3 linked regions of the Bombyx mori genome follow. The protein of the gene in region 1 interacts with the protein of each later gene in a pairwise test. Links are inferred from orthologs where the notes say so. Each region holds a gene or a part of one and is shown on either strand. Other genes may lie near its edges.

The links.
Region 2: the proteins of segment polarity protein dishevelled (region 1) and Ubx interact in a two-hybrid assay, tested with the Drosophila melanogaster proteins (2 studies listed by BioGRID). The link is inferred for Bombyx mori from reciprocal best matches to the Drosophila melanogaster genes dsh and Ubx.
Region 3: the proteins of segment polarity protein dishevelled (region 1) and tyrosine-protein kinase Abl interact in binary tests that used the Drosophila melanogaster proteins (3 or more experiments, as listed by UniProt). The link is inferred for Bombyx mori from reciprocal best matches to the Drosophila melanogaster genes dsh and Abl.

Annotation. Positions count from the first base shown.
Region 1 is NC_085130.1:18,594,938-18,599,368, reverse strand, and holds the start of segment polarity protein dishevelled, read left to right. Parts: upstream 1-1,552; 5' UTR 1,553-1,643; coding exon 1,644-2,525; intron 2,526-4,431. Other genes in the region: uncharacterized protein LOC101735736, read right to left, coding at 182-270, 348-414.
Region 2 is NC_085112.1:6,103,843-6,108,258, reverse strand, and holds the start of Ubx (ultrabithorax), read left to right. Parts: upstream 1-1,477; coding exon 1,478-1,940; intron 1,941-4,416. UniProt on the Drosophila melanogaster protein: Sequence-specific transcription factor which is part of a developmental regulatory system that provides cells with specific positional identities on the anterior-posterior axis. Binds the consensus region 5'-TTAAT[GT][GA]-3'.
Region 3 is NC_085107.1:85,980-89,631, reverse strand, and holds part of tyrosine-protein kinase Abl, read left to right. Parts: intron 1-634; coding exon 635-785; intron 786-860; coding exon 861-1,017; intron 1,018-1,092; coding exon 1,093-1,190; intron 1,191-3,652. UniProt on the Drosophila melanogaster protein: Arm and Abl proteins function cooperatively at adherens junctions in both the CNS and epidermis; critical for embryonic epithelial morphogenesis regulating cell shape changes and cell migration.

The sequences.
Region 1 (4,431 bases):
ACTATACTTGAGACCTTAGAACTTATATCTCAAGGTGGATGGTGCATTTACATCGTAGATGTCTATGGGCTCCCGTAAGGTGGGCTGTGAGCTCGTCCACCCATCTAAGTAATAATAATAAAATATCATAATGTCACAGCTGAAAAAAAAACAACACAAAAAGCAATAAAACTGTACTTACGTGTACTTTCGTTTCTTGGGCTAATTTCGTCTCTAGTTCAGTTTTCATTCGGCTAGCCTTTAATTGTTGCTGTTCTTTTTCAATTTTATCTACAAACATTTGGTAGAATTAAAAAAGCACTTTATAATATATTCCTTGTTTATCTGAAAACATTTGTTTCAATTACCATCAAGTGTCTTGAAGAAATTGTCGATATTATCAATTAGCACGGCACACCAATCTTCTGATTCCATTGTGTATTATTATTTGGAAATTCGTACTTTAAGATAACGACAAAACTTTTGAAATATTTTGAAATTTGTTTTTTTTTTAAGAATTAGGTTTATGAAAGCAAAGGGAATATAGCCAATACGATTATAGAATTTGTAACAAAGATTAAAGTCATACCAGTCATGTGTCAAAAGTGAAAAGAAACAAAAAACAATAGTAAATATTCGAGGTTGCTTTATGGCGTATCCGAATAAAGCGACCCTAGCGCTCAGTATCGGCAAGTAGCGGAATTACACCAGCGTTGCCAAATGTACGGCAATTGCCGTTTCGTACGGCAATCACGCTTCTAAAAGACAAATTGTACGGCATACGGCAGAGTGGTCATTGCCGTATTCTAAAATACGGCAACAAGAGCATTTCTTTTATTATTTTTTAGTGCCATATACCTATTAGGTTAAGTCGGCTAACAAGAGCATAAAGTTAAAAAACAATTAATGTATCCAAAGAAATTACAGGACGTGGATACTTTTTGCGTAAACATGAACACATCCAGCTCTTATAATAGACAATGTTTCATGTTTGGTACGAGGAATTCCCTATAATCTACAACGCCTGCTCTTTAAGTCCTCTCCTCAAGTCGCCTCGCCGCCTCGCTCTTGTTTCATTGTTAGTACTAGCAAGCGTAGCTAGCTAGCAATTTTATCTTTTGAAAAAGTGCATGGTAGCGATACGTGAGATAGTGTATAAAATGTGTATAAAAAAGAATCTTCAATGCGTAAACCTAATCAAAACAAAACAAAGAAACCGCCTCTTAACATATACCATAAATGGAACATTATTACCAAAAGAGTGCATTGTCAGAAATCAACCAAACTGTGCGAACTATAAGCCAACCCCCGAAATGATCAATAAAATGAAAAAACCATCAAATTACGAAAAAAATGAAATTATTGAAACTGAACTTACTTTAGGCAATAATACAGATTTGATGGGAAGAGAGGAGTGAAAAATATATACTGTTTTAATTTCTAGTCTAAAATAAATAATAAAATACTTTTAATTGAAATTTGAAATTTTGAATTACTTTGTACGGCAATTTTTGTTTAAATACGGTAGATTTTTTTCTCCAGTACGGCAACCCAATGTTTGCCCAGCGGCAACACTGAATTACACTTAGTAGCCATTTTTGTGATGGCGGCTGATATTTATAGATCGTAGGGAGTGTTGTTTTTCAATAAATAAATGTGTTAAAATGGAGGAAACGAAAGTAATTTATTACATAGACGATGAAGAAACTCCGTATTTGGTTAAAATACCTATTTCACCCGAGAAAGTTACGTTATTAGACTTCAAAAATCAGTTAAACAGACCGAACTATAAATTTTTCTTTAAATCGATGGACGATGATTTTGGTGTTGTTAAAGAAGAAATAGTCGATGATAACGCTCATTTGCCGTGTTTTAATGGTCGTGTTGTGTCGTGGCTCGTATCCGCCGAGGGCTCGAACCCCTCAGACGGCGGCTCCCAGTGTACGGACAGTAACGCAGGCAAGACAAAACCAGCTCATGGAGCTCCAGCGGCGCCTCTCACGAGGGACACCTGTACGGATACGGACAGTACGATAAGCTCCCGACCGGGGCACAGAGCTTCCTGCGACAAATACAAATATAGGGGCCTCCGAATCAATGGACACTCGAAATTTGGCAATCATGGCCTAGAGTATGAGACTGCTTCGGTATTAAGCTCGGATTTAGACTCGACTAGCTTGTTTGACAGTCAATCTGAAATAACCAATACAACAGGTCGCCACACAAACGCTTCAGTAGACAGAGCACTAACAGAGTGTAGCAGTGTATCGCATCTTCAAGTGAGTTCGCGAAAACGACCTCAAAGACGGCGGAAAAGACCTCAAGTTATGTCCCGAACGTCATCGTACTCCTCGATCACGGACTCTACAATGTCTATGCACATTATCACTGTTACTTTAAATATGGACACAGTCAATTTTCTGGGGATCTCGATAGTGGGGCAGTCCAACAAGGGTGGGGATGGTGGAATTTACGTCGGAAGTATCATGAAGGGCGGTGCTGTGGCCCTAGACGGAAGAATAGAGCCCGGTGACATGATTCTGCAGGTAAGACTCATAATATTTACCTATCAACCATGACTATTAAAGTTGGCAAGATAAAGCTATCTAGAACTATGTAACAGAACTAGAACTCTGCTGGTAACAGGGAAACCTTTGTCAATGTTTGAAATTGTGATTATCATGGTGCTTATTCTTAATATTCTTGATTGTGCAAACACCTAAATGATAAAAGCTGGATAAAAACAAAACCTTAATGACCTTGTCATGGAGTGTAAGCTGGCTAAATTTCAACTGGGAGTTGCTATGGATTGATCAGATTTTAATTTAAATTTAAAATTAAGCTTGGTTAATCTAAAAGATAACAGGATTGATAAGAAACATTCACTAATAATCACTGAACAAAAGATTAAGATAAAAATAATGAACCTCTAAAAGGATAAATCTTATAATTTTGATGGAGTTATGTACTATTTAAGTAACAGGATGATATCTTAGCAAAGCCATCTTACAATGGCTATGTTATTCTCATTTTCTGTCAGCATTGTCCATGTTTTAGCTTACTTGCTTATAATGAATACTCTGAACCATAGAATTTGTCTTCATTTTACTTTAGCTTAACTTTTTTTCTTATTGCCATTAGCCCACATTATCTGAAATGTGCAACATGTCCTCTTGTCGTGAGGTGGGTCGCCTGTCCAACATTAACCTTCTATGTTTGTATCTTCATATATTTGCTGTAACTTGCCATTGGAAGGTGCCCTTAACAATTTCTTTTGTTGGTGTTTTTTACCGCATCCATTTTGGGTTCTTCTTTGTCTTGTGTCACTGATAGTGTGGTTGTGCTTATCATTTGATTGGTGTTGGTGGCAAGCTTCTCAACCTGTCACCACATTTCTCTGATGGCTGTCTCCTCGTTTAACTGCAGAAAATATCCACAAATATCATACCATACCATAATAAAGTAATTAGTAACGGTTAAGGTACAGACACTAATACCATTGTGATATAAAGATGTAGATGATGAGATCTTGAGATGCAGAAGTATATTGTATGATACAATACCAACTCTATAATAATATGAAATCTTAGTATTTTAAATACCTAAAAAGCAGATTGGAGTTTTTTGTATTGCTTAGATGCGTGGAGGAGCTCACAGCCCACCAATGTTTATTTGTGTTTTTTTATTAGGCACACAATACACATTACAAACTAAAAAGATCGCCCCTTCTGGCTGAGCCCTTGCTTGCTAACCTGTCCTTGTGAAACTAAAAAGGCCTCCTGGCCACCAGTAAACCCTAAATCATAAAAAAAAAAACTAAAATATATAATAAATACCATGTAAAAATCTGGTTTGTAACATAAGCCATGTGCGCACAACTAAACAAGACAAATGTGCAGAGTTTGTACACAATGTTCCTTGCAACTATTGCACAAATCAACACGATAACGAAAACTAATCTAACTTATAATGTCCCTGGCCCTCTAAGTGTTTCGGGTCCCCCCTCACATGTCGGTCTGGGGACCGGCGAGGGGGGCCTAATAAGACGACGTGCAAGCTGCTCTGCACGCGTTTTACGCAAGAGCATCCGGGTGATGGAAGGCCGGCTATCCTCGACCCACGCTGGTTCTGACCCAGCGGGGTATTCCGTAGGATAGCTCACTCTAACCGGCGCCATCTAGGCGGGCTCCGGATAGCCTGCCGATCGAGAGGGCTGGTGGGAGGGTGATGGGAGAGATGTGCTCCGCACTAAACGCTTCACTTTCCCCCCTTTGCCTCTTCATGAGTTCTGTCTCATGCGAGGTTTGGACGTTGGTTGTTGAGCGACAAGAGGTTTTAGTCAGTTCGACTCTGACATGCTCCGCCCTTTATCCCCAGTGGAGGGCGGAAGTCCGGCGATTTCCTCCTGACCAAAAAAAAAATTAAAATGAAATAGTTCCACTCACAATAAAC
Region 2 (4,416 bases), on another chromosome or scaffold:
TTGCAAGTTAACGAAAACCTGAAATAAGGTAAGTTTTAAAAAATCATAAAAAATTTAAGTATATTTAATTCATGAAACGTAAACCACCATTATCTATTAATTAAAATAAAAGTGTTAAACTTGTCATTTTACATATATCATTTTTAATAAATAAATAAAAAAACGTCTCAATACCCGGATCTAAAGGAAATATTTACATACGAAGGCGCAATAAAAATGCGTTCAATTCTTAAGGGTAGGGCGCACCATTCATTCGTTTGACGACTTCATTTGGTCGCGCGAAGTGAACTCGCGATAATGCGCTATTGTTTACCCTCCGATAGTGCGTTGTCCACTGCATGCGCTACACAGCGCGAGACCAAGACCGCTATACACTAATCAGCCCCGCTCGGATGATAACCGTTCCGCGCTCGACGCGCTGTCCCTTTCGCTCTCGAACGGGCGCCTTAAGCAAGAGAGCAATAGAAACATCACTCGTAAAAACAGGTAGTAGAAGAAATAATAATCATCTTTACGACTTCTCACTCTATTCAGCACCTTGTTACGATACTGAACGCTCATTGTGGCACGGTCGACGAGTGGCTGTAAAATCTTTTCTTTACTCGCCCGTTTCACTAATTGTACGTTTATGAGTTTACGACTTTTGCGGCTTAACTTTTTCGTTCTATTCATTTTTGAGGCTTTTGTTGAGGCTCTTCAAAAGTTTTGTTACGCGGTCGTCCGAAGATACATAAATTGTTAAAAGAAAACATATAGTTTATAATAGGATTTGATGTTATTGAGTTCTCTCTTAAGTCATATAAATGTCAGTTATTAACCTAGGTATTCTGAAGTAGAGCAGCTAAAGTTCTAGTTTGTTTGACGAACGTTCGCCACGTGCTCGAGTGGGTGTGATAAGGAAAGGAAAAGAGAGCGTAACTGATAATATTTATAGTGATTAGCGAAAAGGGGACGGAACAATAGTCGTTGGGCTGCGATGGTAGCAGTGAGCGCGGGGCGGCGCGCGTGTCTCAGCCGCGCTCAGTACATTGCGTGAGCCGCGTCGCGCCGGTCGCACACGACACACAGCCGCGCGCTCCCGCCACACGCGACGGAAAACTTCGCTCGCGACACAAGCCTCCGGCCCATACACCACCACGATCACTTCTGATTTCATACAGTGGAGACGCGCTCTCGGCTGACGTCCTGAGACGAGCCGGCGCCGCAGACGAAACCGCTTAAAAAGTCGTAAAACCCGCGGCACGCGCTCCCGAGTCGTAAAATAATCGTAAAAAGTAAACACACGTCAACTGGCCTTTATCGCCGACGAAGCCCATTATGACGCTTTAGTGACGTTTAAGAGGCAATAAAATTAATAAAAATAAATTACGTTGTCCGTATTTGGTGTGACATTGGCGGAGGTCGCGTTATCACGGCGCGCGGGGCCGCGATGACATAAGTGTTCCCTGAGTGACGTTAGTGCCTGTGACTGGTCACGATGAACTCTTACTTCGAGCAGGGTGGTTTTTACGGGGCCCATGGAGTGCACCAGGGCGGCGGTGGTGGAGACCAGTACCGCGGCTTCCCTCTGGGCCTCACGTATGCACAGCCACACGCTTTGCACCAGCCTCGTCCTCAGGATTCACCGTACGACGCGTCTGTCGCGGCGGCCTGCAAGCTCTATGCTGGAGAGCAGCAATATCCTAAAGCAGATTGTTCAAAGCCAGGCGGTGAGCAGCAGAATGGCTATGGTGGGAAAGAAGCCTGGGGCTCAGGTCTGGGAGCACTAGTGAGGCCGGCAGCATGCACTCCTGAAGCTCGATACAGTGAGTCGTCAAGTCCTGGTAGAGCGCTTCCGTGGGGCAACCAGTGTGCACTTCCGGGATCAGCAGCATCAGCCGCGCAGCCAGTGCACCAGCAGCCTACTAACCACACTTTCTACCCTTGGATGGCCATAGCAGGTTAGTAAGTTAAAAAAAATTATCTCGATCACAACTCTATATAAATTGAATATGCAATTTCGAAAAGGGCACACCTCTGAAAATGTAAAATGTTCAGGAAATGAAAAAAAACTGATTATTTTCTAAAGCAGTGTAAAATTTAAAATATTAACTTTTGAAATATATTTTAAGTGTTAATTAGCAATTGAAAATTACGGGAATTATTATAAAATGGGTGTAGGTAAGCCTCAAAACTACATGTATATGAAAAAACGTATTTGACAAAATATGCGACATGTGCCCTTTTCGAAATTGCATATTCGATTGAAGTGTATTATTGCGATCGTAGGTGCAGTTTTTTTTTTGATAAAATTAATTGCCGAAGTCTCTACCTATTAATATTGTATATTACATATTTGTTTACAAATATCACTGAAATTTATGATTCTATATTTAAAAATATATTGCGTTTCCCATAAAAAACTCGTCAACATTTAATATACATAAGTGGAAATGAGAGGCGTAACAAAAATATGTCACGTCCGATACCCCGTAAAAATCACTAAAATGCTGCCATCCTGTTTGGCACACATAATCGGGCCACTTCAGAATCGTCCATTAATGTTTCCTAAGAGTCCAATACTAACCGGCAGGTAGCCGACAAATCAAGTGTCAATAAAAAGCACATAAAACGAACGACCCTCGTTAACACCTTATTAGTGAGACAGATTTGAGTACCATTAATAATTTTATTGCGGACAAAACTCAGGATCCTCCAAATTACTAATTTGTAACGATAAATTGATATCAGTGATTTGATCATAAAATCTTTGGTGTAGACTTCCTGAATGTTGATGGTTCGTAGCAACGGAACTGGTATATAAATTATAGAGCTATGGAACTGGATTATTTGAAATAAAGTTCTCGTGTCTTAAAATTTTTTTTGGAACAAAACTAACAAGGTTTGTGAATTAAAATACGATTTAATCTTGGACTGGACTATACGGAGATTTAGCAGAACATATTATACCTACTTTTTTTACCGGACGACAAAACACTAAAATATTTCGAGAGAATGTAAAATAAAGAGACAAATATGTTGTCGATATTTACTTGTGTTCTCTTTTCTGACCCATAACAATTTAAATTAATTTTATAAATACATTAATAAAGCTAAGAAATAAAATAAAATAAAAGTTATTTATTATTAAAAGTTGTATATTTATTTTATTACTATCTAAAAATAAATAAAACGTTTAACAATCCTTCAATACTTAACACATACTTTAAGATGAAATTTTTCAGGTTCAAAATTGATTGTGTAGGCATAAAGTAAAGCAAAAAGCGCTATTTTAGTGGCCCAACGAGGCAGGAGAGGTGCGCCCGCGCCGCCCGCCCGGGTCAATGGCCCGGTCTAGTTTTGGGCGCATTATTATTAACTTACTGCCACTGACCATTCGACAAATGACCATCCCATTAAGAGCGCTTCAATCTTCAAACATACGTTTCGGTAAACATTCAATTCATGCACTTAAAAGATAAAATAACGCTTTAAAAATGTTTTACAAAATATCTAATACGGCATATTAGTTGGTATAGATTAGAATTTAAGTCTTATAAGAATCGATTCTCTCTCATTCGTAGTAGTTTTTCTGGAAAAGAAGTCCTATTCGAATTTCGATTGAATCGATTAGTTCACCTGGGCCGGCGACGAGTAATTAATGCTACGCGTGTGGTCCCGCCTCGTCATAATTCATGCGACTTGATAAAAATTAAGTAACAGGGCCTAAAAAATAACAAAATAAAATGAGAAGTCGAACCGTCGGCTATAATTCACTGTGGGTTCACGCAACACAGGCCGCGAAACAATACAAGGACGCTTGTTGGACGTGGCATGTATGAAAAGTTCGGGCTTGTCCATGAACGGTCCCTGCTGTTCATTTGGACAGTTTGCTAATTTGTAATACCTGTAAAGTAAACCTTTTTTGGTATAAATACCTAAAACATAGGTAATTTGGTATAAATTCCTATAAATATAGAAAGAAAAAAAAATTGTGGAGCTGTAAATGTAACTAATTTAGTGAAGCAAACGATAAATACGGTATAAGTTGAAGCTCGAAATTGCAATCACATGCTCCCGATCTTACTGCTATATAATTGAGGACTTAAATTACAGGGCCGTGGACTTCTTTTTTTTAAATTTGTTACAAGCGGTTTTTAAATGGAACAAAATAAAAACAAGAAAAATTATTTGGTGGAATAATTTTCATTTTCAATCATACGACAATTATTATGACCCTTCAAACAGCGACTTGAATCTTTCTCTTCTTACTTGGTGCACATTCGTTCTGTAGAGGCTTTTACACATTCCGATTCTTCAAAACTTGATATTGAAAAATATCAATTACATATAGCAGATTATTTTACCTTATTACTGTACAAAAACAGAAATACTGTCAAAATTCCTAGTACATATTTAACCCACATATAGAGAAAT
Region 3 (3,652 bases), on another chromosome or scaffold:
CGTGCGTCGCTGTGTAGACGTGGCCGATCCCACAGACAGGTTCCGGTGTAATTAAAAAAAAAACCCAATGTTCTTTGTATGGTACAAAATTCACACAATAATACAGTAGGTGCTTGTTGAATAAAACAGTTCATTCGATTGTAACGTTATAAATGAATTTCTTAAGCGACATTTTCAGACTTGTAGGTAATTGTTAAGTGAACGCCCTGTACTCGTCGACTCGCAACACATCGGTTTATTTATTTGTTTACACAAATATTTATTATACATTTTATGGTGACTGATTGAAAAATATTACAGTTTCAATTTGTCATTATATTTTCTTTTAATCAATGCGGGAGTGAAATCGTTTCGCTTTTTGCAAGTTTAATATTGGAGACATTTAAGAGATATGTACAAATTACAAGAAATTAAACAAAATATTAATTTATGGAAATGAGAGAAGTTGCACGTCGAGTGCTGGAGGCGGGGCGGCGGCCGAGCGCGCAACTTCACGTATCGTTACATAAGCCGATATCGATAAACAGAAACCATTGTTGCGCATTTGATGGTTTTTTTTTTGTCATTTACGTAATTGCTTACTCTTGGAGCTGCGCGTTAGAACAGTTAACGAAGGAAGCATGTGGTGGCGCAGGGGTACCGCATGGAGTGTCCCCCGGGCTGCCCGGCGCCCGTCTACGAGCTCATGCGCGGCTGCTGGCAGTGGAGCCCCTCCGAGCGGCCCTCCTTCCGCGAGATACACCACGCGCTCGAGCACATGTTCCAGGACAACTCGATCACAGACGGTGAGCGCCTCGTTACGCAACATGTACTCGTACTAACAGCGAGCGGCTGCTATAGATGTCAACGGTGTGTTTCAGAAGTAGAGAAACAACTCCAAGAAGGCAGCGGCGCGCAGGCCGCCGGCACCCCGCTGCTGTCGCTGAAGAAGACGAGCGCCGACCCTCGAGCGGTGCAGATGCGGCGCCCGACCAACCGCCGCGGCAAGCAAGCCCCCACCCCTCCCAAACGCACTAGGTAGCGCACCCGACCACAAGTAACTGAACACGACCCCCGCCACTCATCGACATACTCATCGACCGCGTGTTGCAGCCTGCTGTCCTCGTGCAGCTCCTTCCGCGAGTCGCAGTACGCCGCCGACGAGCACGCGCCCGACGACGCGCCCGCCGACGCGCTCGCCGACCTCAACGGTCAGTGTCTCACGCAGCGTCACGCGCCGTCACGCACTCCAACAACCGATATAGTGCAATAGTACGCCTCCGCTGTACACGGAGGATATTCATTACGGAATGAAGCGGCCATCGCTTTGTTTGTTTTTAGGTTCCATGTTAAAACTCATACCCGGCTTACTTGACGCTATAACGTTATTCGTCTAAATGACGCACTACAAGTATACCGACGCGACCCACGCGACCCACGTGACCCACGTGACCCACGCGACCGAGGGCGACTTTGTAGTGCGGTACTTACGCACATAGCTCAAGTCTTTTTTTTATTTTTGAAGATTGAATATTTTGGCACTTTGTACGACTGCCAGTCTAGTTCACAGAATAATGGTCCTCACACTAAAAGACGCAGGTATTGTGCATAATGGTCAGTTCATTCAGAATCTTCTTGACGGCAATGTATAAATAATATTAGATGCGGTTTAACTTACATACGTTTTTTAAATTTTATATTTATTTTAAAAATTATATAATTTCTAAAATGAAATTGACAAAAAGAACAAAAATACAACAAACCGCACGCAGCTCGAGATAGGGATCAGAGACCTTCATGGAAATGTTCTTCAAATTTGTAAGAAGAGTACTCATGTTTGTTAAAAGTGTACACACCGTCAATTATGCTTTTTGTTATAATATTTTTATGTACAAAAAACTAAAGTCAAATGTCCTCAATGTCTGTACGTATTGTACCATAACTCAATCTTCGGAAGTAAGATAGAATATAAGACGAGTAGGCTCTGAGGCCGCGCGCCGGCGACACACTGCTCTAAGATACTGTTTTCTGTTTGCCGTGTCTCGGTGCAGCGGCCTAGCGCTCGGAGCCCGCGCTCTGTAAGTATTCCACGGCACCTGCTGCTCTAGCCCTATCCCTGCTTAGTGTAAGATGTAGCTCCTCACACTCGAGTCTGTGTCGGCACCGCGCCGCGACCTAGTCTGCATGCTCCGTCCGGCGTGCAGTAGGAAGGAACGAGCGCCGCCGAGCCGTCCACGGGTCGTCAACAATGAAATTTGTAGCATCGCCAACATTAACAGCCTGCTAGCTGGCATCGGCGCAGTATTTTGACGCTTAGTTTTTTAATTTTTTCATCGAACAGTCACGTATGCTCCCTGTATATTCGTACATATGTACTAAATCAATATTGAGATGTTTGATTGTGATGTGAGTAATGAGTCTAAAAGGGTTCTATACATCATTAAGGTCGTACATGACTCCATCCTGTCTGTGAAACTGAAACAACTTCGACCCGGCTGTAATCCCTCCATCCTTAAAAAAAAGACTAGGCTCTCAATGCTACGCAGGAGACAGTATCTTTGTATGCCAAAAGAAAAGTCCACTGTCTGTCTGACGCCAACAGAATAAAAAACAGATTAGATAAAACAAAAATAACCTTACTTAAAATGACAATATCTGGAAATTTTGAATATATCATTTGACACTAATAAATACATATAAACATTACTGATATTTAAGTTAGGTCCGCTTCTTGACATTGTCTCAAACTGCTGGCACAATAATAATTCACTTAACTGTAGATTATAATTCAAAATTTTAAGTTAGATACAAAATGAGGAAGCGTAGGTATATTGCAACACGGAGCTGCGTTGTTATACGCGAACATTGAGGAACCGAGAGTAAAGGATCACTCTCATCCGCTCTGTCGTTGTCACGTTGTAATTGTTATGGATACTGGTGACGCTATTTGTGACAACCTGGGCGACTTAGACTTCCCACGTGTTCTCACAGCAGTTGAAGTGAATCTACTCGGCCTACTCGCAAAGAAAAATAATAAGAAAATAAAAAACAAGTAGCAGTATGACTCACCACCAAGTGTCTGCACTGATAACCCTAATGCTATCAAACTGACTAAGTGTAGGGAGGGTGGTCTAGTCCCCGTGTGCCAGCTCGAGCAACTGGCTAACGAATCGACTACTGCGCGATAAACGCACGGTACCAACCCACTCGACTGCGCCCCGCATCCTCTGAGTCTAGCCCTCTACGTGACATTTTTTTTGTGATTTTGTCAGCTGCTTAGCAAGAACAACTTGAGTTCCGACAATGCTAATGTTAGTGGACTGCGTCGACGCTGCGAAACTGGCAAACATTGTGCATTTTTCTACAAATTTCATAGTTGACGAATAGTATTTTACTTGATCTGTTCATTTTATAGTTTTCCTGATTTGGGATAGTTTAGTTTAGATTTGGTGAAATAGTGAAGTTATAATCCTTTTTATATTTTTCCCTCAATATAAATAATTACGTGACTTGAAAATAGCATGCATTAATTTTTGTACCTACTTCCAAAGACAATAATACTTCCGGAAACTGTACATCTATTCTTCTCACTCTTTACTTTTGTCGTGCTACTGAACTAACCGCGTGCAGCCTTGTTGCAAGATTGATATTGGACTAGATTTTACCCGCGGCC